Linked DNA regions of Daphnia pulex. The protein of the gene in region 1 purifies or fractionates together with the protein of each later gene. This does not show direct contact. Links are inferred from orthologs where the notes say so. Each region holds a gene or a part of one and is shown in the gene's direction. Other genes may lie near its edges. The genes, in order: probable ATP-dependent RNA helicase DDX23, small nuclear ribonucleoprotein Sm D2, CD2 antigen cytoplasmic tail-binding protein 2 homolog, U4/U6.U5 tri-snRNP-associated protein 1-like, U5 small nuclear ribonucleoprotein 40 kDa protein-like, U4/U6 small nuclear ribonucleoprotein Prp4-like and 116 kDa U5 small nuclear ribonucleoprotein component-like.

Region 1 (3,956 bases):
TGTTGTTCTAAACGTGATTCAACGTGATTCTTAACAACATGCTAGACGTCTGTAAAGTTTAGGATTAATCCGCGGGTCCAGTGTCTACGCATTCCAAGTTTCAAGGCTTTCAAATGCCAAGACTAAACAAAATCTGTTCCCTATTATTTTTGAAGGCCTAACAATTCTCAAGGACGAAATGTATGGGCACTGCTATTTGCGGAAGGACGAATGTGATGGAAAAAGAAAACGTTTCAAACGGATGGAGCAGACGACTGTAGAACAAAAACAAGGAAAAACAAAAGACTAACGAAATTTGGGCTACTAGTAAAATAGAAACTTGTTTCGAATTTCAAAGAATTACATTCACCACACACAATACTTGTAAAAATAGGTGAAATGTACCTTGCACCCAACTACTTGAAGCATTTGTTGCTTCTGGGCTTCATTGGGTCCAATATGTCGACTTTTGAATGCCTGCCGAGCGGGCACGACGCGGTCGAAATGCGTTCCGCAAATCCGCTGCGCAGTATTAAGACTTCTCGAGCTGGTGCGGATGCATTCTTTCAGAGGACCCACCACTCTCAATAGATTCTGCATCTTTAAGGCCAATTATTACACAACGTGAGTCAAATGAAACAACACCGCAGGGCACTGTTACAGCACTATGGGAGACTGTGCAAGTAACACCTCACCACGACGAGCGCACGAAACGAAATGAGCGAATCGAGAGGTTTGCATTCGACTTTTTCAGTGCGGACGAAACGGGCGACTTTGACCTGGTTGTGTGTGTGTGTACATAGGAAATGTGGGGGTATAGGCAATAAGGTGGAGGGGGGGAGATATGTACATAAGCGAAACTGATCCCGAACCAGCGCGAAGCGGTTTTTCAAAGCTCATTTGGCGCCCTTGGGCTTCAGTCCATGGCCAATCCGCACGCGGATCCTTTCACTGCCATCAACTGCTGGGCATTATTTCGACTCGGCTAATTTTATTTTGTTGACGTATAGGTAACTGCCCAACTGCGATGTTGGCCAGAAAACATTGAACTGAAACGCATTTAACGATCGAATCTACCAAAGTTACATAATACAATCATTTTGTAAAAATCAAAACGCTAAATTTGTTACAGACCCAGACATAAGTTGACACTTGGTCGAAATAGATTTAGGCTAGCGATAATTCAGTGCAAACAAATAAGTGTCAAAACGGATTTGTCCAAAGTATAGTTTTTTTTTCCTTTTCAAGGACAAATGTCGTATGTTAAAAGATAAGGTGCAAAGTGCCGGGAACAATTCCTATACGTACCAGTGCGTGTAGATTGGCTTCAGCGTCAGTCGTGGTGCAACTTGTACCGAAGGTCTACCTCTCAGCCGAGAGATAAATACGTACGTATGATCTGAATTAGGTTTTCCCTATCATCACATCGGGACTAGTATAGACAGTTCACGCAGTATCACAAAGATTGCCTGTTTTATTAGACAAAGCAGCTAGCCACTCGGCAAATATTAAATTTTAATGATAACAGGAGAGATTCCAATTTCAACAACAACAACAACACTTTCTATAGACTATTAATTCATATCTTACCCAAAATCCAACACGAAACAAACAAAAACTAGAGCGCTGACTAAGAATAACTGCAGCTCGATTGCTCGGCAAGTTGTTGATTAAAAACGGCGTTATTATTACGTAATAACTGTGGGCTCGTCTCTGCCGGTCAGCTCCCGCAACTTGGAAATTCGAAGCGCGATCTGAACAAGTGGTTTCAACATGACCTAAATTCAATACGGCATTTATCTTTAAAAGCTTCAGGGTTACATCAATCAATGTCAATATGGTATACCTGGGCGTCAAGCAGATATTTATCAGCATCGGACTCGTAGCTATCGATGTAAAGGCGGACAGTAGCCCCTGAGCTTCCAGTGCCGCTCAGGCGAATGACAATACGCGATCCATCTTGGAAAATGATCCGCAATCCCTTTAGGATCAAAATGAATTAATACTGACATTTTTATTTCCGTTAAAGACATTTGTAGTACCTGTTTGGAGGAGAGGCTACCATCGATGGGATCGGTATAAGAAAAGTTATCGGCCAGGGCCACCGTAAAAGATTTGCCATCGAATTCGTGAACAGAACCGATGAACGAGGGTTCGTTCATGAGTGCCTCAAGGTCGGCCATCATTTTGTTGCAGGGCTCGGAATCACAATTTTCGTAATCGTATCTAAAAGGTCAATTCAATGTCATAAGTAACGTTACATAAATGTGTTACGTAACCTCTAATTCACCTCGTGAAGAAGTTTCGCCCGTACAAAGTCCAGTGGTCTTTTAGAATTTGTTCGACTGTTTGTTTCCTGGTGGCCAGAATAGACAACCAGGCAAGAACCGCCCATATTCCATCTTTTTCTCGAATATGATCTGAGCCAGTTCTATTAAAATTGCAGATATGAAATATTTTCATAAATAAAATTCGAATGTACTAAAATTTACCCAAAACTTTCTTCGCCGCAAAGCGACAGTTGTCCGGCATCCATCAGATTGCCAAAGTATTTCCAGCCGGTGGGGACTTCGTAGATACTTTTCTGCAATTTGACGGCAACCCTAATAAAAAATTATTTAGTTAAAACAAATTCAGTGGTCCAATAATGTAATTAATACCTATCGACAGCGGCACCAGTAGGCATGCTTCTGGCAAATCCTCTAACTCCAGTTTTACGGAAGTAAGGAATACAATCCATATTGTTGGCGATGACTGCTAAAGAGTCGGAAGGGGTGACGAAGAAGGCTTTCTCACCCAAAATCATGTTTCGATCCTTCATTTAAATACACACATTGAAATATTGAGTTAAGTTTAAGAGTTAATGAAAGTTAATTACTCCATCTCCATCAAAAGCGGCTCCAAGTCCGAAATCGCCTTCTTTCATAGCTTGAACCAAGTCGGCGGCGTAAGTAAGATTCGGGTCAGGATGATGTCCTCCAAAATCTTCCAGGGGAATAACATTTACGACACTTTGTGCGCTAGCTCCAAGCTCTTCGCAAAATATGCGGCTGACATAAGGACCGGTCACTAAAAAAACAGTGGTCAGCCAAATGGTGTCGTATTTAAAGACTTTTTCAAAGATCAATACCTCCGTGCATTGAATTGATCAACACTTTCAGAGGGGTTTGACCTGTTCCACAAATAAGGTTTTTGATAGAACCAAAATCAAAGATTTCTTTCATCAACTCCAAATAATCGTTGACAGAGTCTACGACTTCAACTGTAAATGGGTGGCCTTCAATCTACAAAGAGTGGAACATGGTATGAAATTTTGAATGACATCACTAATTTTAGCTTTCTTACATCAAATTGCTGAGTTCCAATGGTCTTAATATCACATTTCAGGTCTGGTACTGTAGAATATTCCTTGATTCCAGTAGAAAGCTCATAGATTTTGTTGGTTACACCATCAGGTGCAGGCCCACCGTTGGAGGTGTTAAACTTGATGCCGAAATCGGCATCAGGACCACCTGGATTGTGACTGGCAGTGAGCAAAATTCCACCGTTGGTCTTATACTTGCGAATCATGCAAGAGACTGCAGGAGTAGAAAGAATTCCGTTCTGCCCAACAATCAGCTTGGATACCTGTAATGACATCACATTAGAACCATATTTTTAAAACGGAATAACAAGGATCTGTACCTTATTGGCAGCACAAATGCGGACAATGATCTCGACTGCTTGGTGCAAGAAATATCGTCCATCTCCACCAAGTACCAGAGTCGAACCGGTTAGAGCCTCACCAAGTCCTCCAGTTAACAACGACTGAATAAAATTTTCCGTGTAATGTGGCTGAGAAAATACTTTAACCGCTTTTCTTAGGCCGCTAGTGCCAGGTTTTTGGCCTTCAAATGGCGTTGTAGGTACTTTTATTGGACTCAACATCTTAGTTTTTCTCCCGTAGTTACAGCACAAGAGACTGAGACTAGAACTTT
Region 2 (2,761 bases), on another chromosome or scaffold:
GACATGACAATATCAACGTTACTCACCATTTTGGACTAAGAAAAAAGTCTAGAAAAATTTCACGCAAAGCTCAAAGACGCCTAAACTGAAAGATCAACCCGAATGACTGCGGGATGAGACGGCACTGGGGGGAGTGAGTGGTGCGAGTGAGAGAGAGAGAGAGAAAATGCCCTCGATAAGATTTTACTCGTGGCGCGGCGAAAGAAGAGGGGAAACTCAGAGTAGACTTCTCTACACCGGCCGGGACCTCGCACTGCAAAATGGCGGCTGTTCCCCAAACTTGAGAAAACTTGGCGCTACCCAGTCCACACCCAGAAAAGCGCGTCATCTGGGGGTGGAATACAGCGCCGTCAAACGATGCCTATTTCGAACCATATTACAAACTTCACTAATTTATCACAAATAAAACATATAATGATAGGCGCATCATTTATCATTTTAAAAATAATTTGTATGACTCTTATTCTGTTTGCTGTTATGTAAAATCTCAAATGTCGTTAAATGAATTCGGGTAACCGCCAGGGGTCTCTGCTTGCTTAGCGATTGAAGGATGATGCCGATTGTAGAGAATTTTGTGTGTACTGGTTGCACATTCTCTGATTGGTTGTCCATATCGGGCGCTTGTTAACCCGAAAAAGGGGAGCCCAAACCACAAACCTGGAGAGAGTTACGAAAAGTAACTTTTTCTGTAAAATCCTCTACTCGCAGATTTTTCTGCTTGAGCAAAAAGTTGCCGACTCTAAATGATCATTCCGACTTCCTAATAAATGGTGTGCATCTCGCATGAGTGTTTTAACGAAAAAAAAAAATTATTGGGCCAGTTGCACACTTATTCTTTCATTCAGTTTCTCGGGGAGGATGACCTTTTATGGGCAGACATCGATGACTCACATTTTTACTTCCCCTCCCTCTAATCTGCCCTCCCCTCCCCTATGTATTAAAAATCTGAAACTCTCGGGACCGGTGTCGACAACTTTCTCTGTTTCTATAATTTAGACCAAAAAGTTTCAATTGCCATAGATCGCCTTCGCACAATGAACAGCCGATAACAGCGTGATTCGAAAGTTTTCGCCGTTTCAGGATGACTTATCAACAACGCTGGAAAGCGTTCTCCATTGGGGACCATGAGAAAGAATAGTCTGTGCATACGGGGGGAATATGTCCATATATGGCATTAGACAAGCTATGCTACATAACATAACATCTGTCGGCTGACAATTGTCAACCGCTTCGGTTTTCTCTTGACTCTACTTTCTGAGGTTTGTATTTCCTTTCCTCTCGACTAAAACGAATTCCAGTACAGAGTCCCAGACGTCTGACGTCTGGGATTGTAAATGTTTTTCTTGGCAAATTTCATTCTTTTCTTTTCACAACAATTATTAGAAATTGAAACGTGTCTCTTAAAAATGTAAGTCAACATTAAAAAACAATTTTTGGCAATTAAATCGCAAATAAGACATAAAATAGCATCAACCGTCTAATGCTAATTAATACAATATGACAACGCAGCATGTACGTTTTGTTTACGAAAAACAAGTGAATAACGGTTTGAAAAGTTAAACGAAGCCGGGCTCAAAAATATTCCAAAGAATATTTCTCTATCCGTTTACATCCTTCTATTTATCATGGCGTAAGTAAAGCTTAAGTTCAATTTCAAAATAGAAAATTTTTAAATCTATATTTTCAGCTAGTTACAGTGTTCCGTGTCTGCAGATTTTTCTCTACTTGACAGTTTCGTATGAGCACTAAATAATAAATGTTTCTTTCCATAGGGCTGTTGCAAATAAACCCAAGTCGGAGATGACACCGGAGGAATTGGCCAAACGGGAAGAAGAAGAATTCAACACTGGACCACTTTCAGTTTTGACTCAGAGTGTAAAAAACAACACTCAGGTCTTGATCAACTGCCGTAACAACAAAAAGCTACTGGGACGTGTTAAAGCTTTTGACCGTCACTGCAATATGGTTCTAGAAAATGTCAAGGAAATGTGGACTGAAGTTCCCAGAACAGGGAAAGGAAAGAAGAAGGTAATTTTCACTATTTCTGCATTCATTCATTCATCTATCAACAGTGACAGTTGTATATTTATTTTATAGAGCAAACCAGTCAACAAGGACCGTTTTATCTCCAAAATGTTCCTACGTGGAGATTCTGTAATATTAGTATTAAGAAATCCTTTGGCTGGTACTCCTGGAGCAAAATAATTGTATGTGTTTATCTCTCACTTTTGTATGAAATAAAAAAATCGAACAGCGGAAAATGTGTTTTATTATCTCGTTTTATTCCAATGTTGAAAGAAAAAGTTACAAAATCAAACTTAATCTTTTTCGGCAATTGCAGTCAGATGCTTATCGATGTCAGTTTCCGACAGAATTCTATAACAATCAGATCAGTCACATTAATTTCCTAAACTTAAATATTTTGCGCATTTTCTTACCTAAATCCTGGTTGATCCTTAGAAACAACTCCAATTTCAATATCAGATGGCTTGAAATCAGCAGTTAGGATATGAGACAGAGTTGTAATAGCAAGCTGGATAACTTCATCATGTGTGTAGTTTTGTTTCTTTTTGTATTTCTTCTCAAGATACGACGATGCCTCGGTTTGTTTAACACCCACTGAAGTAGCACGATAACCACAGTAATATCCTTGAAAAAAAAGTAAAACAGCAATAAAGCATACAATTTGAGAACTTTACACCCTATTTTAGATATATACCTGCTGGGTCAGCTTTGTATACAGCAGGCCCCAATTCTTCAT
Region 3 (3,250 bases), on another chromosome or scaffold:
AACTCTTTGCAGGAGGAGGATTACCAAAAGAATACCAATCGCTAAGTGAAACATTAAATGGATTGTGTATTATGGTAAGAAAGCCTGCAATTGAGCTTATACATTATCTGAACAAAACAAATTTTGATGCTCCAGTTCTTAGATATGTGCTGTGTAAGTTACCTTTTTTTTCATGCCTTTAATAATGTTAACAAACCCTTTATAAGTATTACACCATTTATTGCAGATGGAAAGACTGGAGTTGGAAAATCTCTTTCTCTAGCTCATATTGTCCATTATGGTAGCAGTGCTGGATTTGTTTTAGTTCATGTTCCGTGGGGTAAGAACTAAGGAAGATTATTACTAAATATTTTGTGCTAATAATACCATCCTATTCAACTGATTTTTAGTTCCCAAATGGTTTCAATACGTGAAGGTTGCCACTCCTTCATCAGTTCATGCAAATAAGTATGATCAACCAATTGAAGCAGTAGAATGGTTAAAGCATTTTAGCACACAGAATGGACATCTGTTGGATAAATTAGAGGTGATATAAACATATTTATATGTTCTTTTTGTATTCAGTAGTTTTAAGCCAATGCTTTTCTATGTGTACTCATTATGGGTTTTCTGAACTTAAAATAACAGCTGAAGACAAGTAACACCTACACTTGGAGTAAACGAGAAGTGACTGCTGAAGGATCTCCTCTGAGTGAATTGATAGATTTGGGTCTCAACAGGGCCAAATATGCAACTGGTTGTATTGTTGCTTTGTTAGATGAACTTAAAAAAGCCGCTTCAAGCAAACAGTACGTTTCATAATGCAATTTTGAATCATATTAAACCACGGTTATCTTACGCAGATGCCGCGTTCTCGTGGTTATCGATGGATTTAATTCTTTCTTTTCACGGAAATCGAACGTGATCAGGGAAGACAAATCCATGGTTTTACCCTCAGACTTTTTGCTAACGGATGCATTATTGTCTCTTACAAGAAATGATTGGGTATAAAACATAAATAGTGATTATTGGAATGTTATTTGATTTCAAAATATGGGTTGAATTTAGAATAACGGAGCCGTCGTAGTATCAGTTGATCCATCGGCTCATCCTCCGGAACTGCGTGAATCACCTCTGCCTAGATATCTTCTTGGAAAAACAGTATTTCAATTTATGGTATTCATACAACAAATTAAACAACTCCGTTGCCATCCATCTAGGGTTTCGAACATCTAGATCCTTTCGTCCCGATCGAAGTACAGAACTATAATGACAAAGAATTTCGTTCGCAAATCGACTATTACATTGAACGAAATTGGCTTCAGCAACCGAAAGCCCGCACGGACAATGGACGAGCTGAACTGAGTTTTACTAGTGGCAAGCATCCATACAGTTTAATGAGACTTGTTGCTCCATATTGATTGGATGATTATTAACAATAAAAATAAAAGTCAAATAATTCTTAGTCCGAAATCATTTATTTAAAAATACATCGAGAAGACGCGTTCTTTAAATCTGTTTGTCTCCTTTATCCTAGAATAATCAATTCGAGTTTTATCAAAGAAAATGCCGAAAAGGAAACACCAGGAATTAGAAGAAGACACGTTAGAAACAGGAAATGTCGACCAAGGAGATTTTTCTGACGGAGATGACAGTGGTGAAGATGATGAAAAAACTGAAAAGTATGAGATGATGCGAGAAGATGATATAGAAGGTAATAGAAATAAAATATCAGTTTCGAAGAAATTATCCACAATTCATTTCTACTGTCCCAACAGGCCAAGAGGACCCTACCCAAGAATTTGATGGAGAAGTTCAGATTACACCATTTAACATGAAAGAAGAAATGGAAGAAGGGCACTTCGATAAAGAAGGGACATACATTTTTGGAAAGCGGGAGAAAGATGAAGTGAAAGACCATTGGCTGGACAACATAGATTGGGTTAAAGTGAATTCTCAAGCAGCTTCCAACAAAAATCCATCAGATGAAGAAAGTATGGATACAAATGATTACTTGAAGAAATTTGATCCCATTCCTGTATATAAAGAAATGCTGGCCATACTTTTACCTGGTGAAACAGTTCTAAAAGCTTTGAAAAGATTAGGAGGTGGTAAAGTTCAAACAGCATCTGAGCGATGGAAGAAAAAGAAAAAGCAGCAAGACGAAGGAGACCACCAAACAAATGAATTGAATAAGGAAAACATAGCCAAATTAACTGAACATGCGAATAGCATTCTTTCTAATATGGGAAACATGGATGTTTATCAAGAAACTTTTGAAGGGATACGTTTCAAGATTAAAAAATCAGAAGAACCTGTGACGCAATCGACAAATGATCTCGATATGTTTGGAGATATGTTCGATGAAAAAAATAAAGCTGACTCCAATAAACGGGAATCGGAGTCAGTCCAAGGAGAACCCATTACCAAGAAGGTTCGGTTTGATGAAGGCGAAGGTCAAGCTAAAGAAGACGAAGTAAAACCAGAAACTGTACAATGGGAATTCAAATGGAAACAAGAAGAAGATGCAGAAATACACGGACCGCATAGCACATCAGAGATGCTTGACTGGGTTTGTTATATGATTATTAGTGTTACTTTGGCTAATTATTGTTCTAATATACCACATATTTATAGGTAAACCAAGGATACTTTGAATCGGGTGTTTGGGTTCGCCGTGTCGGACAACCAGGAGATTTCTATACCTCACGGCGAATCGATTTTGATCTATACCTTTGATTCGTATAATAATACATGTCCTTTCACTTTTATTACCTAATGATGAGAGCATGAGACGCTATTTAATTAATTATTTTTCAGCAACTTGATCAAGATATCAGACATTTTTATTCTTTAGTTTAGTTACTTCAGTAAACATCTTCATTTTAACAATTAAACGGTGCCCTACCGGTTTACGGTACTACCGGGTTGCAATGTGTTAGTGGCACGGGTTATCATCACTATTCATGTATCATGTATATTGATTTAATACCAAGATCTACCGGTTCACCACGATTCAGCGTAAAATACAAGCAAAAATCGAAAGCTTTAATTTTCGATAACGTAACGTTAACAAATAATGTGAACCATCTGTGAACCAAACATAGCCGTCTAATTGATTACATATAACGTGTATAGTTAGTTATTCAAAAACAAGAGAAACCATTTTAGAGTACTTTATATACGTATAGTTGCATGGGAATTGAAAGTCGACGCTTTCCTTCGGAAATAAACAAACAAATTTCCATTAAATTTCCCCCGTTAGATTATG
Region 4 (4,156 bases), on another chromosome or scaffold:
TCAGTCAAACAGTTTCAACGGGTATGGCGTCCCCGAATTATTTAGGCAAATCAAGAATGACAATGTTACCCTCTGGTTCAGTAACAAATTTCATAGCAGCTTTGCTGCGGTTAACCGGGAACCTATAAACAGTTGATAACAATATTCGGTAACATACACACACAAGAAATTTAATTTGTAATGTGAAAATAAGATTACCAGTCATGTACTACACCAATATGTCTAGTTGATTTCATCTTGCAAAAAGGAAGAATATGTTCTTTGAGGATGTTGTTGTATGTTCTTGAATCGAACTTGCCAGTCACTCTGCACAGAGAAATATTTGGATGGAACGAAGATATACCACCAAAAAACAACACAGTATTACCAGTTTATTTCTCCGAACCAAAATGCAACTCTATCTTGCTGTTTTTGTCGTAACTGGAATTAGGCAACTTCGAACTGGAATTGAGCAATATTCCTAACGATTCAACAAGCGATTCGCCACTCAAAGAGGCCGTTTTTGATTTAGCGGAAATCGTCGCTAGGGGTTCTAAAAATTAACAAATAGATGGGTTTTGTGCAAAATTTTTCGCTAAGTCGATTGCTGAAAACCGCAATCGCCTAGCTTTTGTAATTTGGGAGATTTTTTTAAAAAAACTGAGAGGGGGTAGCCGAAATTTGGAATTTTTTTCGTTTTTTGTGCAGCAGTTTTCTCGTCAACTGCTGCACCTGGAAATATTCGAATTGTTTCATAATGATGGGATAGCCCACCTCTTCAAACAATTTTCATGTTTTTTCGATGCTCGGCTCAGAAGCCGAGATATTAACGATTGAAATTTTTGAAAAAATTTCTAAAAATTTCTTCGTTTTTCGGCCATGCCGGGCTTCATCCTATAAGCCACCTAGCGCTGCGAAAATCGAGAGGGGGTGGTCACCCCAACAGACCCTATATTCAGGGTAAACGTGGTCCGATTTGGAAACTGGAATGAGCGCTCTAGTGAGTGTGTCAGCTACTACGCTTAGCTACTTTTGAGAGCCTAGATGGCTCTGTTTCCAGTTTCTACTTCACAATTCTGACAAGCTCCGCCCTAAAATGTCTGAAAATCGGGGATACGTTTACCCTAAAACCGGGATAGGGAAGCCAACACAGCCGAGAACCGACCAGGCATCTATTGCTCTGGTTCTGCTATCGGCCGCAGTGGTGCGCATCGGCGTAAACTGCGCAGGACTTTTTGTTCGACTACTACTTTTTCATTGGAATAACATCTATAGTCTTTGAGGCGATCAGCCTACCTCACTAGCGAACCTGGTGCGGAATCTTGGAACCCTTAGTATAAACAAAAATCGACAACGACATTGTTCGTTTTGGACTTTTGGTTTTGCCGCACAAGTCTTCACATGTAAAACAAATAGTTAAAAACTATACTGGCCTTAATGTTTTCATTATGTTTTTCCTTTATTGATTTACGGATAAATTTATCTTCTGTTTTCTTTTTTTAAGTTTTATTCAATAGGAGGATTAACACGCCATCTGTTGCGGAATCAATGGATTTGTATTTGTCCCCGCTTTCCAATCCCGCATTTAGCAATTTACCAACACCCAACGGCATCAAAATAAATATTGCAAAAGCTGAAGTCTGCTTCTCAGTTCTCAAGTTCTGAAGTAAAATTGTTGCAAGATCATTAAGTGAATACAGATTCTGGTACCCTACTTTTATTGTTTGATATTTTAAGGAATTCTATTGAAAAAAATTTTATGTTTAAAGAAATCAAAACTTCCCACCTAAGTTAAACTACTTTCTTTCAGTTCTTAAGGAGACATGGACCGAAAAGAAAGTCGCGATCATAATAATTTTCGAAAAAGAAGACATCGTTCCCCATCTAGGTCTCCGTCAAGATCACATTCAAAAAGTTATGCCTCCGTCAAATCCAAACAAATAAAGGAAGATATAAGTCTCAACATTCAGAGCGAAGAACTGTTGACAGGTATGTATTCAAAATTATGTTTATTAGTAACTAGTAACCAATAATTTTTTTTAAGGAAAAGGGAATGATGAAAGACCAGTTGCTAATTCAACCAATGATACTTCCATTTCGATTGAGGAAACCAACAGAATAAGAGCTGAACTTGGTTTGAAGCCATTGGAGATTGGAGGAGAAAATTCAAATGTTGAAGCCAGTACTGAGAAAAAGGATGTTCATGTCCCAGCAGGTAATGATTTCATTTAAATGTCTTTACTTGTACAATTTAAATGTGGTATTTCTCTAGAGAACCTCCGTGAAAAGAAAGCCACAGAAGAGTTGAGACGAAAACTAGATGAAAGACGAGAAAAGAGGCAAATAGAACAAAAGCTTGCACAAGTGCGCACTCTTGCTCATACAACAGCTGATGATGATGACAATGCTGTTAGCTGGGTTGAAAAATCAAGAAGGATTCAGAAAGAAAAGGAAGAAGCTAATAAAAGAGCAAAAATGCTTGAAGAAATGGATGAAGCATTTGGTGTAGGAGATATGGTAACTACTGAACTGATTAAACAAAAAGCAAAAGCATACACAAGTAGAGACTTACGAGGAATAAAAGTAGAACATGACCGGGTAAGTCACCGACAACGTATACTTTTATTTGAATACCTGTGTTGATGTTGCTTTATTTTGTTAGGAAATGATAGCTGAAGGGAAAGAAGTAGTATTGACTCTTAAAGATCAAAACATCTTGCAAGAGGAAGGGGATGTTTTGGTGAATGTCAACCTTGTTGATATAGAACGCTACAAAAAGAACAATGAAATCAAGAAACAGAGACCGGGATATCAGCCCTATGAAGAGGAAGAAGTTGATGAATTGGGCCTTCCCAAACCAAAGCTCTTGCTTGCTAAATATGACACAGAAATAGAAGGAGAAAAACATGATAGCTTTGTCCTAGGTAAAATATTAGATTTGTTTTGTTGATCTTTACAAAAATATTTATGTTAAAATTCTAGGTAAAATTGGAGATGAAGAAGCCAAAATGAAAGCCCAAAAGTTGATGAAAGACAAACTCAAAATGCAACAGAAGAAAATTGAATCACTGGAATCGCGACCGCTCCAAATTGCATCTGAATATTATACAGCAGAAGAAATGGTTTCCTTCAAAAAAGTTAAACGTCGCGTCAAAAAGGTTCGATCCAAAGGCGACGGCATTTTAAAAGCTGACGATCTTATTCAAGAAACGCAAGAAACAACTTCGTCAGACTTGGGATCGAGATCTCGAAAGAAGAGAATGGATGAAGAGGTCACAGAAGGTATTTTAGTTTGACTAGTATATTGTTTTATTATTACTTATTATGTCTTGTTTATCCAACGCCAGATTTAAGCGGATTCAAGATTACTGTAGACGAATCCCAAAAAGAAATACGTCAGGCACTATTAAAAGCTAATAAACTAAAAGAAAGGAAGGCTGATCAGTGGGACATGAACATGATTACGCGGTCATTAAAACGCGAGCCTTTGGAAGAAACGGAAGGTATGGAAGAGGATCCTCTGAAGAGTAGTATCATACTGAATGCCACAGCAGAATTCTGTCGTACTCTTGGTGACATACCAACCTATGGTATGGCAGGCAATCGTGATGAAGACGAAGATGAGTTAATGGTAATTCATTGCATGAATGTTTTTTTTTTTTTGGTTTTGACTTTAATTAATTGCGTTTCTGTTTTGGCAATAGGATTTCGAGCGACAGTTGGCAGAAGAACGCAGAAGAAATCAAGAAAAAGAAGAGCGAAAAAGGGAGGCTGAGCGTCTTCAAGAACGCGGTGGATGGAATGTTCTGGAACGTGAAAACGATCAAGGTTCCGACGACAGCATGGATGTCGATCGTAATGAAAAGGGTATGTATACTGTGTTCTCGTCACTTTTATTGTTGTCAGTGTTTGCATTTTTTTCTTTTCTCTCTGTAAAATAGATAACGCTACTGTTATCCTGGACGAGGAACCTGATGTCGGCTCGGGAATGGCTGCAGCTTTGAAATTGGCTATGAGCAAAGGCTATCTGGAGAAAGAAGAGAAGAAGAGGATAGTTATTTCTAAGTCCGCCCAAGAGCTGCAGGCGCAGCGCTACACCATAGAAGATAAAGCAGCGTACAATTATTTTGTGTTTTGTTTATACGATATTCAGTTATTCTTATTTTATTTTGTTATT
Region 5 (4,173 bases), on another chromosome or scaffold:
TAATGTCATCAACAGAACTCGAGAGACAAACACAAACAACTTAGCTGAAATTTTTTAAAACTACAAGAAAACAAAACTTCCACATCATTAAGTAATCTCTCTCTCTCTCCACAAAACGTTAGTTTAAAAAGAACGACAAAATAAAACAAAACCCAACAAAATGTGTCGTGACAAAATTGTGAGCCTGGAATCAAGGGTGTGGGAGTTTTATGATAGTCCAGATGTGTGAAAAGATCAATAAAAAGTGGTGGCATTCTTACCTTGGCAACCGATGATGCACTGTTGATGTTACTGCTAACCGAATGTGCAGCCAAAAAGGCGATGAAAATCGCCATATGTATTCTGGGATTCATTTTTGAGAGAATTTCCTGAGCGTTTGAGAGTCTGCCTTACGTGTGTGTGAGAGGGTGGAGAGAGAGATTTTTTCAGTATTATTTATTTTAAGAGCCGGATATCCGTTTCTAAAGTTTTCTTCCAAGATTTTTGTGTTATTTCAATACAAAAGTGGAGAACGTGGTCGAATAAATTAGGATAGTTGCAGCCTTTTGTCCGTTTTTCTAATTTTCTAAACACAGACGGTGATGCTCTCAGGTCAGGCTGGGCATTTTCTTTCTTTCTTTCACACTTCTTCTCTCTCACAGGCGCGCACTCAACCACACAGTTCACTGGTGAAGCCAAAACGATGGCCGAGTTTTACTCGTCGATTCGGGGACGGAATGTTAAATATCAACAGAACAAAAAGAGTTGCCGGGAATTGGCGTGATTTCGAGACACTTCTCGATGTAACCAAAGGCCGAAATGGATTAAAAGATCCCAACTCACGCCCAGATCATCAAACACACCAGCCGAGAGCCGCCATTAAACTGAAGGGACTGGATTTTTCTTTGTGTCCCTCCGCCGCCATTGGGTACCAAAAACTCTGCCATCTGGCGGCAGTTTTCAGCTCCTCCCCACTTTCTCCTCCAACAACATAGACGTGGAAATTATACGGACGAATGTAAACCACACACACGGGAAAGAAAAGGAAAAACAAAAATCAATCTCATCATTTCCTCATCATGTTGGGAAAAAATGAATGACTCAATTTAGGTCATGGATTCAGCGCTCAAAATATCTTCATCTCGAGAGACTAGTTTTGTTCTTTCCGACGCACCAAATTTCGTTGGAATGGAAAAGAAATCCCAGACATAGCGACTATCACATATACTGGTGAAGTCGTTTTCTTGCGAGTGTTAAAAAACTAGAAGGTCCTCTGTTCTATAGTCACACGGACACACAAAACTTAAGAAAATATCGAGGGGAGAGATTTAATGTTTGTTGTTTCTCCCTCCTTCTTCTAACACTCCTTTTCTTTTTTTACGATCGTGGGTTCGCCTGTTTTCCGGCCCCAATAATACCCATTGTTTTCCAAGACTGCGCGGGTGTTCATGAAATTCCTCGAGTTACAACTTCTTTTTCCCAAAAAAAGAAAGAGAAAAAGGGTTCGGAAATTCTTGAGCGATATACCACTGTGACAGCTTTTCCCCATCTCAATTTTTATTCTTTTATTATACCAAAGTCTTTCCAAGTTTCCAACAAGATTTGGAAAAGGCGACCACTATAAAATATAGATCTAGCAAGAAAAGGCTTCTGCTCCGTCAGTAGTAGTTGTCAAAACTTTTTCACTTTTTTTTTCTACAACTTGAAAATTTTCTTAAAAGTCTAGAAGCCGGAGCAATGGCGCTTGTGTCAGTAAACAATCCCAGCAATAATGAATTGGTGTCGGCCACCTCGGGTCAAGTGGCCCTGCAACAGGTTTGATTTATTTGTGTTTTATTTATAAACTTTTAAATGAGCCGAATGCATCACAAAAGAGAATTGCATCCAACCACATGCTGACCAGCTTGTGTGTTTTGTTGTTGTAGATGCTATGATGAATTCAAATGTGATATTGACTTTTTCAATAAACAGGGACCAGCAAGAACGTCTAGCCTCATGGCTCCTATAATGCTCCTGGCAGGACATCCTGGAGATATCTTTAGCCTGAAGTTCCATCCTGACGGCCAGTTTTTGGTTTCCACCGGGTTCGACAGACAAATATGTAAGCATCATATATACATTTGAGCATCTCTACTGTTTGGATAATCAACCTCTTGTTCAACAGTTTTGTGGAATGTTTATGGAGAGTGTGAAAACTTTGCTGTGTTGTCTGGTCACACCGGAGCAGTAATGGATCTTCAGCTGTCTACCGATGGTGATACCATTTACACTGCTAGTACAGACAAAACCATTTGTTTGTGGGACACCAGAACAGGAGCTAAAATCAAGAAACTGAAAGGTATACCATTGTCACTGTCCCATTATTTAGCAATTGAACCCAACAACAATTTGTTTCAACAGGCCACTCCTCCTTTGTCAATGCTATTCATCCTGCACGAAGAGGACCTCCTCTTCTCTGCAGCGCCTCAGATGACTGCAACATCAAAGTCTGGGATCCAAGAAAAAGAACCGAGACAGTATCATTAGATAATTCTTACCAAGCGACTTCCGTCACCTTCAACGATACCGCCGAACAAGTCATTTCCGCAGGCATCGACAACGATGTTAAGGTGAGTTCGCAAAATTCAATTGTTGTAATAGAGAGAGAGAGAGAGAGAAGAAAAACTATGGGACCAATTTCCAAGAATTTGAATTAAGCCACCGATTCGGCGAACTTCATATTCCGTGTGAGTGGGAGAAAGTCACAAACTTGAGTATTTTTCTTACAGAATTGATTAAAGTTCTCAGTATTTTTACTTGATGGCTTCAAGAGAATAGTTTGGCAAAAAAGGAAGGACCTGCAGTCATATTCTGTCTTTGTTGTAAAAACTAAAGTTTCGACATTGTTGATTGTTTTCTACTTAATATTGAACCATATTCGTGCAAGTTCTGTCTTACCCTATCATCGAGTTCATTTTCCTTGAAGAGTGCAAGGGATTTCAACTTTGGTATTCTGATTATCGCGTGTCTCACCTTGATAAGGTCACCAAGTCCTTCCTTACTTCCAGGGCCCCTTCTCTTTGATATATGAATGGGTTCACTAATGTAAGCTCGTAGGCGAAGTTTTTAAAATTAATTCAAGTAATTTCAGCAGTAGGGTCTCGTCAAATGTCCTAATTCCATCCTAATTACTGAAGATGCGCATTTTTGTGTTTTGTCAGTTTGAGGCAAATGTGAAACGCTGGAAGCGGATTCTGATACTTCTTTGCTTGTCAGATGGTTGCACATTATCGATCAAAACTTTTCCCCGTAATACTTATGACAATTTTGCGACATCTTTAGGAAGAATTTACTCTGAAAAATAGATAATTTTCACTTTTTATCGATTATCTTTTCGTTCGAACTAAACCCATGTTAAGTTTTCTCCTTTTTTTGGAAGATATTCATTTTAAAACCTGAAAAGTAGTTTTGCATTTGCGATATTTCAACTGGTCCTGGCCTTGAGCTATTCACGTGAATATGGAGAGATAGGTAAATCATACACTTTCCTTTTTAGGTCTGGGACTTGAGAAAAAATGCTCTCCTCTACTCCTTGAAGGGCCATTCCGACACTGTGACCGGCTTGACTCTCAGTCCTGATGGATCTTACGTGTTGTCAAACTCGATGGACAACTCTTTACGTGTCTGGGATGTACGACCTTTCGCTCCTCAAGAACGTTGTATCAAAATGATGGTTGGCCATGCTCACAACTTTGAAAAGGTATATACAATGCCGGCGAATTTCTCAATCCATTCTAATACCTTGTGTAATGTTATAGAATTTACTTCGCTGCTCATGGTCACCTGACGGAACCAAAGTTTCAGCGGGATCTGCCGACCGATTCGTTTACATTTGGGACACTACATCTCGCCGCATCATTTACAAATTACCTGGTCACAACGGAAGTGTCAATGACGTTGTATTTCATCCTAAGGAACCTATTGGTAATTTACGCAGCAAATCAACATCAAGGACATCAATTAATTTCAGATTTTTTATTTTGAATGAAACATAGTTGCATCCGGTGCCAGTGACAAGCTGATTTACCTAGGCGAAATTGACGCTTAATTAGGAAAGGTTATAATTTTTTTCAGTTGAAACGATGGCAAGGATCGAGGACGAATAAACAAATAATTCTTTTACGCATATTTACAAAATTGCATTTAAATTAATCG
Region 6 (3,736 bases), on another chromosome or scaffold:
GTTTTTCTGGTGTGCTGATGCTTTGTTTACCCGAATGGGTTTACCATACAGCTTTATCATGTTCATAATTTTACATGCGTAGTCAGCATCATCTTCACTGAGGAATTCTATGAATCCGTATCCTTGATGCAGTAAAGTAATCCGATCTTTAGGCATATGCACATTTACTACAGGACCACCTTGAACGAACAACTCCCACAGCAAGGGCTCCGTAACTTTTTCGTCTAACCCACCAACATAAATGGTAGCATCTGAAAATGATAAAAATTTCACATAGTCATTTCATTTTAGTGCATAATAAACTTAAATTTCTTACCTTGATTTCTTTCTGAAACAGGTCCAGCAGCCATGCTGAAAGTAACCAAATAGTTTCCACCTGAAATTTGCAAACTTCCAAAATATAAAATGCTTGTTTGAGTGTGTCTGCCTTGTATTATTGAAGGCCGGTCAAGCGATCAGTTTTCCTATGCCAGTGCTTTTGACTAACCAAGCTCCAACTAGATGACGCCCGGAGCTAAAGACCGGCCCACACACTCAATAGCGGCAAGGGCGGAAGGATCCGACAGGTTTTCAAATCTTAGTCTGTGTGGTGTCTTGTGTCTCTTTGCAAATTGCCAAATTCCAATAAATAATGCCGTGTTTAAGCATGTATAATTATATCCGGAAATCCTACGAAATACTAAGAATATAAAATTTCTGTATCTAAAGCGTTAATAGAATACATCCTTTATTCCTTTCCCTCTCATACAGATCTTTATTAAGAACAATTCTTTGTAGTTATTATACAGTTTTCTAAAATTAGATGCATAAAATGGATAACCAAATTTTGAACTGACAATCTGATATTTCAAACATCATTTTTGGTTATGTCCCTATACTAGGCCTAGTATACTCCCTAATGTTTCCGTACACCAAATTGGCCTGTTACACAGTCTGTTACACAGTCTGCTGCATGTGTAATCGATCGCATATCAGGCATTTTATGCTATTAACAACTGTATGCTGAGCTGAACCTCAATTTTATAGGTTGCAACAAAATCATTTTTGGAAAAAAATCCCAGATGGGCATGTGCTGCACTATGAGTGCGAATAATTTTTTTCTAATCGAAATCACAAATTGGTAATATAAACCGAAGATTCAGTATTCAGGTATTATTCAGACTGGCTGTTTTGTATATTAGGTAGTGTAATAAATCACACATCATAATTTAAAATTTCTTTTGCGAGCGGCAGTTTATTATCCGAAGAATGAGTACATGGAACATAGTTTTCCAGTTTTCCACCAGTGGCTCTGTATGCTGCACATGATTTTTTCATACCGTAAGTCGCTTTTCGTTTGGGAGTCGTCTGGCTTGTAAAAGTCTATTTAAGATTTAAGAACGATCGTATTGACAACAAAAACGTGACAAAACGAGGTGTCGGTGTCTATAATATTTAAACATTGAGATCAAAACAGGAAAAGTTCAATTAGAAAACACATTTCTTTAAACATGTCGTCCACAACCGGTTTCGCTATCACAATTGACGATGGGGAAATTCGGAAACATCTTAGGCAATTAGGTGAACCAATAACCCTTTTTGGTGAAGGACCTGCTGATCGCCGAAATAGATTAAAAGAGTTACTCTCGGTTCATGGACATGATTTGATCGATAGAAAAAAAGAAGATGAAAAAGAAATTGTGAAGGTTGAGAAAGATCAAACTGAAACCACTTGGTATCATGAAGGTCCTGAATCACTCAAAATTGCTCGTTTGTGGTTAGCATATTATTCCCTCCCCAGAGCAAAACAAAGGTTATCTAATGTGAAACTTGAATCTGAAATACCAGAATCAACAAGAACAGCCAAAAGGTCTGAAATATGCTCTGTTATGAAAGCACATCCCAATTAATATATTTTTTCTTTTCCAGGCAGGAAATGGTGAAACGGATGAGAGGTATGAACATCATGTGCAGCCAAGTTGGTGATGGAAGACCAATATCATATTGCCAATTCAGCCCAAGTGGAAATTTGTTGGCCACTGCCTCCTGGTATTAAATATTCTGAGATTGTAAGAGAGTTAATCAGATAATAAAAAACAATTCATGTTTTAGGAGTGGCCTGTGTAAATTGTGGAATGTACCTGACTGCACTTTGTCTCATTCATTGAGAGGCCACAAGTGTAGTGTTGGAGCAATAGTCTTCCATCCACAAGCCACCTTGAGCTTAGAACCTTCAGAATTAAATATGGCTTCATGTTCCATGGACGGCGCAGTCAAATTGTGGAATTTAGAAAGTGAAGAGCCGATTGCTGATATGGAAGGACATGCTCCGCATCGAGTGTCAAAAGTTGAATTTCATCCTTCTGGAAGATTTTTAGCTACATGTGTTTTTGATAATTCCTGGAGGCTATGGGATCTAGAACAGGGTGTAGAAGTTCTTCATCAAGAAGGGCATTCCAAACCTGTATACAACATAGCATTCAATGTTGATGGTTCAGTGGCTATCACAGGGTACCAACACCTAAAAATATGTTAACATAATATTTTAATTACATGTGGAATTTTTTCTAGTGGCATGGACTCTTTTGGTCGAGTATGGGACCTCAGAACTGGGCGCTGCATCATGTTTATGGAAGGTCATTTAAAAGGTGTCTTGGGCATCGATATATCACCTAATGGCTACCACATAGTAACTGGAAGTGAAGACAATACCTGTAAAATATGGGATTTACGTAAGAGATCCTGTATCTATACTATTCCTGCACACACAAATTTAGTGTCGAGCGTGAAATTCGAAAGAAGTTCCGGACAGTATATTGTCTCATCTTCATATGACTGTACCGCAAAGGTATGAATAATCATTAATAGATTTTCTTTCTGCATTCTTTAAATGTTACATTTGTCATCTATATATATTTGAAATAATTTTCTGCCCTAGATATGGGCGAGTAACACTTGGCAACCATTGAAAACCCTTTCGGGACATGACGGAAAAGTAAATTTTTTAATCAGATACGTTTGTGATGTGTTTCTCAATTTTTTTATTTTATTGTTACAGGTTATGGCAGTTGATGTATCGCCTGACGGGTCGTTCATCGCCACAGCCTCGTACGATCGCACTTACAAGCTTTGGTCCCCTGAATAAATGTAGAAGTATAGAGTGCAGCTTCGAAGACGACCATGCTTGTTTGATTTCTTTATTTGTGTATTGGACTTCGAAAACATTAATAAATTAAATACAAAAAAGTTGAAGCCTATTGGTTGGGAAGATTGGGTGGAGTATTAAAAACTTACTTTCCCTCGTACTTTGTAAAATCCGAATTGACTGTAGTTGTGTACTAATGCTGGAAGCCCTAAATACGAATTCATTATAATTGGCTTGTATTCAACTAAACCCTGGTACTCGTTTTGCAAAGTTCGCTGTAGGTTGACTGTAAAATCTTTAACGTCGAATATAGCAGGAGTCGTGTGTTCAGCTAAAATTCATAGGTAAAAATAAGAGTTAACATCCATCGAATAATGATTAACAGAATTGCAATCTTTTTACTTGAAAGTAGTGGATGCGATAAAAACGTTAACCAGGGAATTGCCTTGCTCCATGGATTCCATAACTGGGTAAAATTGGGTTCTGCCGGCACGGACCCAAACAAAATTCGGACGCCGTTTCTTTTCAATCTAATTCCAAAGCAAGAACTTTCTTGAAAACTTTTGTTCGACATTTCTACATTATAACGTATCAATGTGTCATGTCTGATTT
Region 7 (4,169 bases), on another chromosome or scaffold:
GCCGAATTTTATAATTGGGGTGGAGATTGTTGGCTCGACCAATGTCGAGGTCTAATAACATTCCGTCATCACCACGAGACTTGATTAACAATCAATCATTTCGTAAGTCTAATGTGTCCAGGAGTCCAGTGAACTACAATCGCTTCATCCATGTCGAAGGGTATTGTGTAGTAATGAATGCCGTCCAATAATCATTGCGATCCATTAAGCCTTGACTCCCGACAGACTACACCGCCGTGGCAATGCACACCGGACAGTATAGTGACCCCCCCGCAGACACAAAAAAGATGATGGATAGAAATTTAAAAAGAGAAAAACAAAACAAACCAAAAAAAAAAAAAATCTCAGTCAGAGTCTGTCGGGCTATTGATTGGACACCCCCACGGAAAATTCACGCACGAGGAATAAGGAGGAGGAAGTCGATTGCTGCTGTTGGCCAAGTCTAAATGTGTGCAGCGACATTCAACCGGGTACATTCTATCCGCCTACACAATGGATGACATTGCTGCAAACAACAAAAACAGAACAAGCAACTCGAAGCATCGCCGATAACGGTGATTATATCCCGAATAAAAAAAAAAAAAAGAACCATCAACCGAGAACCCATGGACAGAAGGAGAACTCTAGTTGGGCTGGGCTGGGCTGGTCTACATCACCGAATGGCCGGCATTGATTTTGTCGATCTGCCCATATCATCCCAAGTATTTTTTGGGTTTTTTTTTTGTGATTTCCTTTTGGCAACAACAAACCAACAAGCGAATATATAAATCGGGGTCGCTCGTCTGTAGACTCGTCTGCAGATAAAGACGTCTAATATATCTTTCCATACGAGTCGGCAGCAATAAATCATATAAGGGCACTTGCCCATCCAGGGGGCTTCCATCGCCCGGCAAAACTGAAATTCTGCACTGTGTGCGTAGACATCAGACGACTGCTGAGATTTATTCCGTTATTCAATTCAAAAACATGACGGCATTTTACTCCTTATTTCGCCCGCTTTGATTGATATTATCGCCCGTGTTCGACTGACTTTGTTTCTCCTACAAAATGTTTTTTTCCGTCGTGGACCCGACCTGATAGCGACTGACACGTCATCTATATAAATTCACAACTAGATTTCAGTTTCCAGTGCACAAGCAAAAAAACAGCGCCAGAAACATTTCCTTATTCGGGTAGGGAAAACCCCGCCCTCAACGGGATTCCCATTTGCATTTTATTACGCTGTGAATTTTTTTTTTCTCTTTTATTTTATTTTTATTTATTTATTTTTATTTTTATTTATTTTATTCATTTTATTTTATTTTCATTTTTTTTGCCACTCATAATCCACCTGCTAGCTGGTAGATGGCGCTGTTCTTAAATTCAGATTTCATTGGCACCCGCTAGATGTCGCTAGTGTCGCTCGTTTTGAGCGCGTGCAAATCTGTACGCATAGTAAACGCATTTTCTTGAAAGGCCCGGCTTTTCTGAAATTCCCTTTTGAAACAGCTTTATAACTGTGAGTGTTGGGTTAAGCCGAATACCGATCGACAACATCCAAAGTATCTGCCCAATTTACAGACAGCAAACGACTCAGTTGACTGTCAAGAATGGACGCCGATCTCTACGACGAATTCGGCAATTACATTGGACCCGAACTCGAGTCAGATGAAGACGAAAATGAGGAAGGAGACGAGGCTGATCACGATGACGAAGCCGAAGACTATGGTGACAATGATTCCGAAGAGGCCATGGATCAAACGGTGGTTGATGGCGACGCACAGATGGCCATTGTTTTGCATGAAGACAAAAAATACTATCCATCAGCGTTGGAGGTTTACGGACCTGGTGTGGAGACACTGGTGCAGGAAGAAGATGCTCAGCCCTTGACTGAACCCATCATCGCACCTGTCAAACGAAGGAAGTTTCAGGTACCACAAATTGTTTCGCTGCCATATTTCATTTTGTTGATTAACCTGTTTCCACCCATTTTCATTAGGTTGCTGAGCAAGAACTCCCTGAAACCACGTATAACATGGAGTTTTTGGCTGATCTCATGGACTCTGCAGAACTTATTCGTTCAGTGGCCCTTGTTGGTCATTTGCACCATGGCAAGACTTCCTTCATGGATTGTCTGCTCATGCAAACACACCCAGATCTCCAGACGGGAAAACCTGGCAGTGGAGAGGAGAAGCCTGTCAGATACACAGACACACTCTTTACTGAACAAGAGAGAGGTGTTTCCATCAAAGCGACGCCCATTACCGTGGTCATGCCCGACCTGAACGAAAAATCCTTCCTCCTCAACATGTTCGACACACCTGGTAAATTACAGTTTTCCAACTTGCAAAATGGGGGGGAAAAATGTATTTAATCGATTTTGATGTTTCTTAAAGGTCACGTCAACTTCTCAGATGAAGTCACGGCTGCCCTGAGACTTTGCGATGGTATCGTCCTCTTTGTCGACGCTGTCGAGGGTGTCATGCTCAACACGGAACGAATCTTGAAGCACGCCGTCCAGGTAATTAAAAAAAAAAAAAAACTTCAACTTGGTTATTCCAAGAATTTCTTTTTAACCCTGTCCTTTCATAGGAGAAAATGGCCATCACAGTTTGCATCAACAAAATCGATCGACTCATTTTGGAGCTCAAGCTGCCACCTCAGGACGCATATTACAAGTTGCGCTACATCATTGAAGAGATCAACGGTCTTTTGGGCCTGTACAGCGACGAAGAGAATCCAAAATTCGTGTCGCCCTTGTTGGGCAACGTCTGCTTTGCTTCTGCCCAGTTCTCCGTTTGCTTCACCCTTAAATCCTTCGCCAAACTTTACAGTGACACGTACGCACACGTCCACAATGGCAATGACGGTCTTAAATGAAACTTCATTTTCTTTCATTTTAGATACGGATCCGATATCAACGACAACGAGTTAGCACGTCGTCTGTGGGGTGACATTTACTTCAACAGCAAGACGAGAAAGTTCACCAAAAAGCCGCCACATAGCTCGGCTCAGCGAAGTTTCATCGAGTTCATTTTAGAGCCGTTGTACAAAATCTTTGCCCAGGCATGTACCAAGGACAACTTTGCAGTTAATTTGAACAGTTGATTCATTTCCAATATTTTTTGCTTGTTTAGGTTGTGGGAGATTTGGATTCGAGTCTACCGCAGTTGCTGGACGAACTTGGCATTCGCCTGACTGTCGAGGAACAGCGGTTAAACACTCGCCCCTTGTTGAGACTGGTCTGCAGTCGCTACCTGGGCACTTTCAGCGGTATGTCAATTAAAATGTATGTTGAATTGAAGCAACGGTCTTTAAATGTCAATGTTTGACTGGTGTGTGTAGGTTTCGTGGAAATGTGCGTCAAACACGTCCCGTCGCCCGTAACGGCTGCTCGCACCAAAGTGGAACACATTTACACAGGTCCCCTGGAGTCCATCCTGGGCGAAGACATGGTCAACTGTGATCCCAACGGCCAACTGGTTGTCCATACTACCAAACAGTATCCCACAGAGGACTGCACTGGATTCTATGTCCTGGGTCGTGTCCTGAGTGGGACCCTTCACGCTCACCAGAACGTCCGACTCCTGGGTGAAAACTATTCGCTCAATGACGAAGAAGATTCACGTGTGTTGACGATCGGTCGACTTTGGATATACGAGGCCCGTTACAAGATCGAAGTCAATAGAGTAACGGCAGGCAGTTGGGTCTTGATCGAAGGGATCGATGCCTCAGTGGTCAAGACGTCGACCATCGTCCAGGTTCACGTCGACGAGGACTTGTACATTTGCCGACCCTTGAAATTCAACACGCAATCCATCATCAAAATTGCCGTTGAGCCGGTGAATCCCAGCGAATTGCCCAAGATGTTGGACGGTCTGCGTAAGGTTAACAAATCTTACCCGTTGCTCTCGACGCGAGTGGAGGAGTCGGGCGAGCACGTTATTCTTGGAACAGGCGAACTTTACCTGGACTGTGTCATGCACGATCTCAGGAAAATGTACTCGGAAATCGACATTAAAGGTTTGCCATTCATTTCTTCCCAACTGTTAATTCTTCTAATTTAACTAATTCACTTTGGTTTTTCTTGTAGTTGCTGATCCTGTGGTGTCTTTTTGCGAAACGGTCGTGGAAACGTCCTCACTGAAATGTTTTGCCGAAACTCCAAACAAAAAGAATAAAATCACAAT

Evidence for each region.
Region 2: the proteins of probable ATP-dependent RNA helicase DDX23 (region 1) and small nuclear ribonucleoprotein Sm D2 purify together in Homo sapiens (affinity purification with mass spectrometry; 3 studies listed by BioGRID and IntAct, counting the BioPlex papers as one, with this or other methods). This does not show direct contact. The link is inferred for Daphnia pulex from reciprocal best matches to the Homo sapiens genes DDX23 and SNRPD2.
Region 3: the proteins of probable ATP-dependent RNA helicase DDX23 (region 1) and CD2 antigen cytoplasmic tail-binding protein 2 homolog purify together in Homo sapiens (affinity purification with mass spectrometry; 6 studies listed by BioGRID and IntAct, counting the BioPlex papers as one, with this or other methods). This does not show direct contact. The link is inferred for Daphnia pulex from reciprocal best matches to the Homo sapiens genes DDX23 and CD2BP2.
Region 4: the proteins of probable ATP-dependent RNA helicase DDX23 (region 1) and U4/U6.U5 tri-snRNP-associated protein 1-like purify together in Homo sapiens (affinity purification with mass spectrometry; 3 studies listed by BioGRID and IntAct, counting the BioPlex papers as one, with this or other methods). This does not show direct contact. The link is inferred for Daphnia pulex from reciprocal best matches to the Homo sapiens genes DDX23 and SART1.
Region 5: the proteins of probable ATP-dependent RNA helicase DDX23 (region 1) and U5 small nuclear ribonucleoprotein 40 kDa protein-like purify together in Homo sapiens (affinity purification with mass spectrometry; 3 studies listed by BioGRID and IntAct, counting the BioPlex papers as one, with this or other methods). This does not show direct contact. The link is inferred for Daphnia pulex from reciprocal best matches to the Homo sapiens genes DDX23 and SNRNP40.
Region 6: the proteins of probable ATP-dependent RNA helicase DDX23 (region 1) and U4/U6 small nuclear ribonucleoprotein Prp4-like purify together in Homo sapiens (affinity purification with mass spectrometry; 4 studies listed by BioGRID and IntAct, counting the BioPlex papers as one, with this or other methods). This does not show direct contact. The link is inferred for Daphnia pulex from reciprocal best matches to the Homo sapiens genes DDX23 and PRPF4.
Region 7: the proteins of probable ATP-dependent RNA helicase DDX23 (region 1) and 116 kDa U5 small nuclear ribonucleoprotein component-like purify together in Homo sapiens (affinity purification with mass spectrometry; 6 studies listed by BioGRID and IntAct, counting the BioPlex papers as one, with this or other methods). This does not show direct contact. The link is inferred for Daphnia pulex from reciprocal best matches to the Homo sapiens genes DDX23 and EFTUD2.

Annotation. Positions count from the first base shown.
Region 1 is NC_060019.1:348,406-352,361, forward strand, and holds the start of probable ATP-dependent RNA helicase DDX23, read left to right. Parts: upstream 1-1,156; 5' UTR 1,157-1,367; intron 1,368-1,435; exon of another isoform or gene 1,436-1,667; coding exon of another isoform or gene 1,668-1,757; intron 1,758-1,825; coding exon of another isoform or gene 1,826-1,960; intron 1,961-2,021; coding exon of another isoform or gene 2,022-2,205; intron 2,206-2,269; coding exon of another isoform or gene 2,270-2,410; intron 2,411-2,471; coding exon of another isoform or gene 2,472-2,582; intron 2,583-2,639; coding exon of another isoform or gene 2,640-2,794; intron 2,795-2,857; coding exon of another isoform or gene 2,858-3,048; intron 3,049-3,109; coding exon of another isoform or gene 3,110-3,263; intron 3,264-3,324; coding exon of another isoform or gene 3,325-3,606; intron 3,607-3,663; coding exon of another isoform or gene 3,664-3,906; exon of another isoform or gene 3,907-3,956. Other genes in the region: glycine dehydrogenase (decarboxylating), mitochondrial-like, read right to left, coding at 385-579; phosphoglucomutase-1-like, read right to left, coding at 1,668-1,757, 1,826-1,960, 2,022-2,205, 2,270-2,410, 2,472-2,582, 2,640-2,794, 2,858-3,048, 3,110-3,263 and 2 more. UniProt on the Homo sapiens protein: Involved in pre-mRNA splicing and its phosphorylated form (by SRPK2) is required for spliceosomal B complex formation.
Region 2 is NC_060018.1:305,221-307,981, forward strand, and holds small nuclear ribonucleoprotein Sm D2, read left to right. Parts: upstream 1-1,237; 5' UTR 1,238-1,408; intron 1,409-1,477; exon of another isoform or gene 1,478-1,509; 5' UTR 1,510-1,625; coding exon 1,626-1,630; intron 1,631-1,772; coding exon 1,773-2,028; intron 2,029-2,097; coding exon 2,098-2,205; 3' UTR 2,206-2,261; downstream 2,262-2,761. Other genes in the region: cofilin/actin-depolymerizing factor homolog, read right to left, coding at 27-29; proteasome subunit alpha type-6-like, read right to left, coding at 2,319-2,376, 2,439-2,649, 2,720-2,761. UniProt on the Homo sapiens protein: Plays a role in pre-mRNA splicing as a core component of the spliceosomal U1, U2, U4 and U5 small nuclear ribonucleoproteins (snRNPs), the building blocks of the spliceosome.
Region 3 is NC_060022.1:6,690,472-6,693,721, reverse strand, and holds CD2 antigen cytoplasmic tail-binding protein 2 homolog, read left to right. Parts: upstream 1-1,463; 5' UTR 1,464-1,545; coding exon 1,546-1,693; intron 1,694-1,757; coding exon 1,758-2,551; intron 2,552-2,616; coding exon 2,617-2,718; 3' UTR 2,719-2,750; downstream 2,751-3,250. Other genes in the region: 28S ribosomal protein S29, mitochondrial-like, read left to right, coding at 1-153, 227-319, 390-526, 628-788, 843-984, 1,048-1,140, 1,200-1,400. UniProt on the Homo sapiens protein: Involved in pre-mRNA splicing as component of the U5 snRNP complex that is involved in spliceosome assembly.
Region 4 is NC_060026.1:10,447,501-10,451,656, forward strand, and holds the start of U4/U6.U5 tri-snRNP-associated protein 1-like, read left to right. Parts: upstream 1-1,356; 5' UTR 1,357-1,382; intron 1,383-1,483; 5' UTR 1,484-1,685; intron 1,686-1,766; exon of another isoform or gene 1,767-1,789; 5' UTR 1,790-1,802; coding exon 1,803-1,968; intron 1,969-2,023; coding exon 2,024-2,194; intron 2,195-2,251; coding exon 2,252-2,577; intron 2,578-2,641; coding exon 2,642-2,903; intron 2,904-2,961; coding exon 2,962-3,261; intron 3,262-3,326; coding exon 3,327-3,610; intron 3,611-3,683; coding exon 3,684-3,846; intron 3,847-3,920; coding exon 3,921-4,095; intron 4,096-4,156. UniProt on the Homo sapiens protein: Plays a role in mRNA splicing as a component of the U4/U6-U5 tri-snRNP, one of the building blocks of the spliceosome. May also bind to DNA.
Region 5 is NC_060027.1:3,204,468-3,208,640, reverse strand, and holds U5 small nuclear ribonucleoprotein 40 kDa protein-like, read left to right. Parts: upstream 1-1,373; 5' UTR 1,374-1,716; coding exon 1,717-1,794; intron 1,795-1,950; coding exon 1,951-2,080; intron 2,081-2,143; coding exon 2,144-2,317; intron 2,318-2,379; coding exon 2,380-2,588; intron 2,589-3,514; coding exon 3,515-3,718; intron 3,719-3,776; coding exon 3,777-3,942; intron 3,943-4,013; coding exon 4,014-4,066; 3' UTR 4,067-4,146; downstream 4,147-4,173. Other genes in the region: syndecan-like, read right to left, coding at 261-353. UniProt on the Homo sapiens protein: Required for pre-mRNA splicing as component of the activated spliceosome. Component of the U5 small nuclear ribonucleoprotein (snRNP) complex and the U4/U6-U5 tri-snRNP complex, building blocks of the spliceosome.
Region 6 is NC_060018.1:6,530,833-6,534,568, forward strand, and holds U4/U6 small nuclear ribonucleoprotein Prp4-like, read left to right. Parts: upstream 1-1,350; 5' UTR 1,351-1,490; coding exon 1,491-1,849; intron 1,850-1,908; coding exon 1,909-2,028; intron 2,029-2,091; coding exon 2,092-2,490; intron 2,491-2,550; coding exon 2,551-2,827; intron 2,828-2,917; coding exon 2,918-2,974; intron 2,975-3,037; coding exon 3,038-3,124; 3' UTR 3,125-3,236; downstream 3,237-3,736. Other genes in the region: splicing factor 3B subunit 4-like, read right to left, coding at 1-251, 317-350; tumor protein p63-regulated gene 1-like protein, read right to left, coding at 3,262-3,455, 3,527-3,654. UniProt on the Homo sapiens protein: Plays a role in pre-mRNA splicing as component of the U4/U6-U5 tri-snRNP complex that is involved in spliceosome assembly, and as component of the precatalytic spliceosome (spliceosome B complex).
Region 7 is NC_060028.1:8,367,612-8,371,780, forward strand, and holds the start of 116 kDa U5 small nuclear ribonucleoprotein component-like, read left to right. Parts: upstream 1-1,369; 5' UTR 1,370-1,589; coding exon 1,590-1,910; intron 1,911-1,978; coding exon 1,979-2,303; intron 2,304-2,375; coding exon 2,376-2,500; intron 2,501-2,571; coding exon 2,572-2,819; intron 2,820-2,882; coding exon 2,883-3,045; intron 3,046-3,116; coding exon 3,117-3,252; intron 3,253-3,324; coding exon 3,325-4,002; intron 4,003-4,072; coding exon 4,073-4,169. UniProt on the Homo sapiens protein: Required for pre-mRNA splicing as component of the spliceosome, including pre-catalytic, catalytic and post-catalytic spliceosomal complexes. Component of the U5 snRNP and the U4/U6-U5 tri-snRNP complex, a building block of the spliceosome.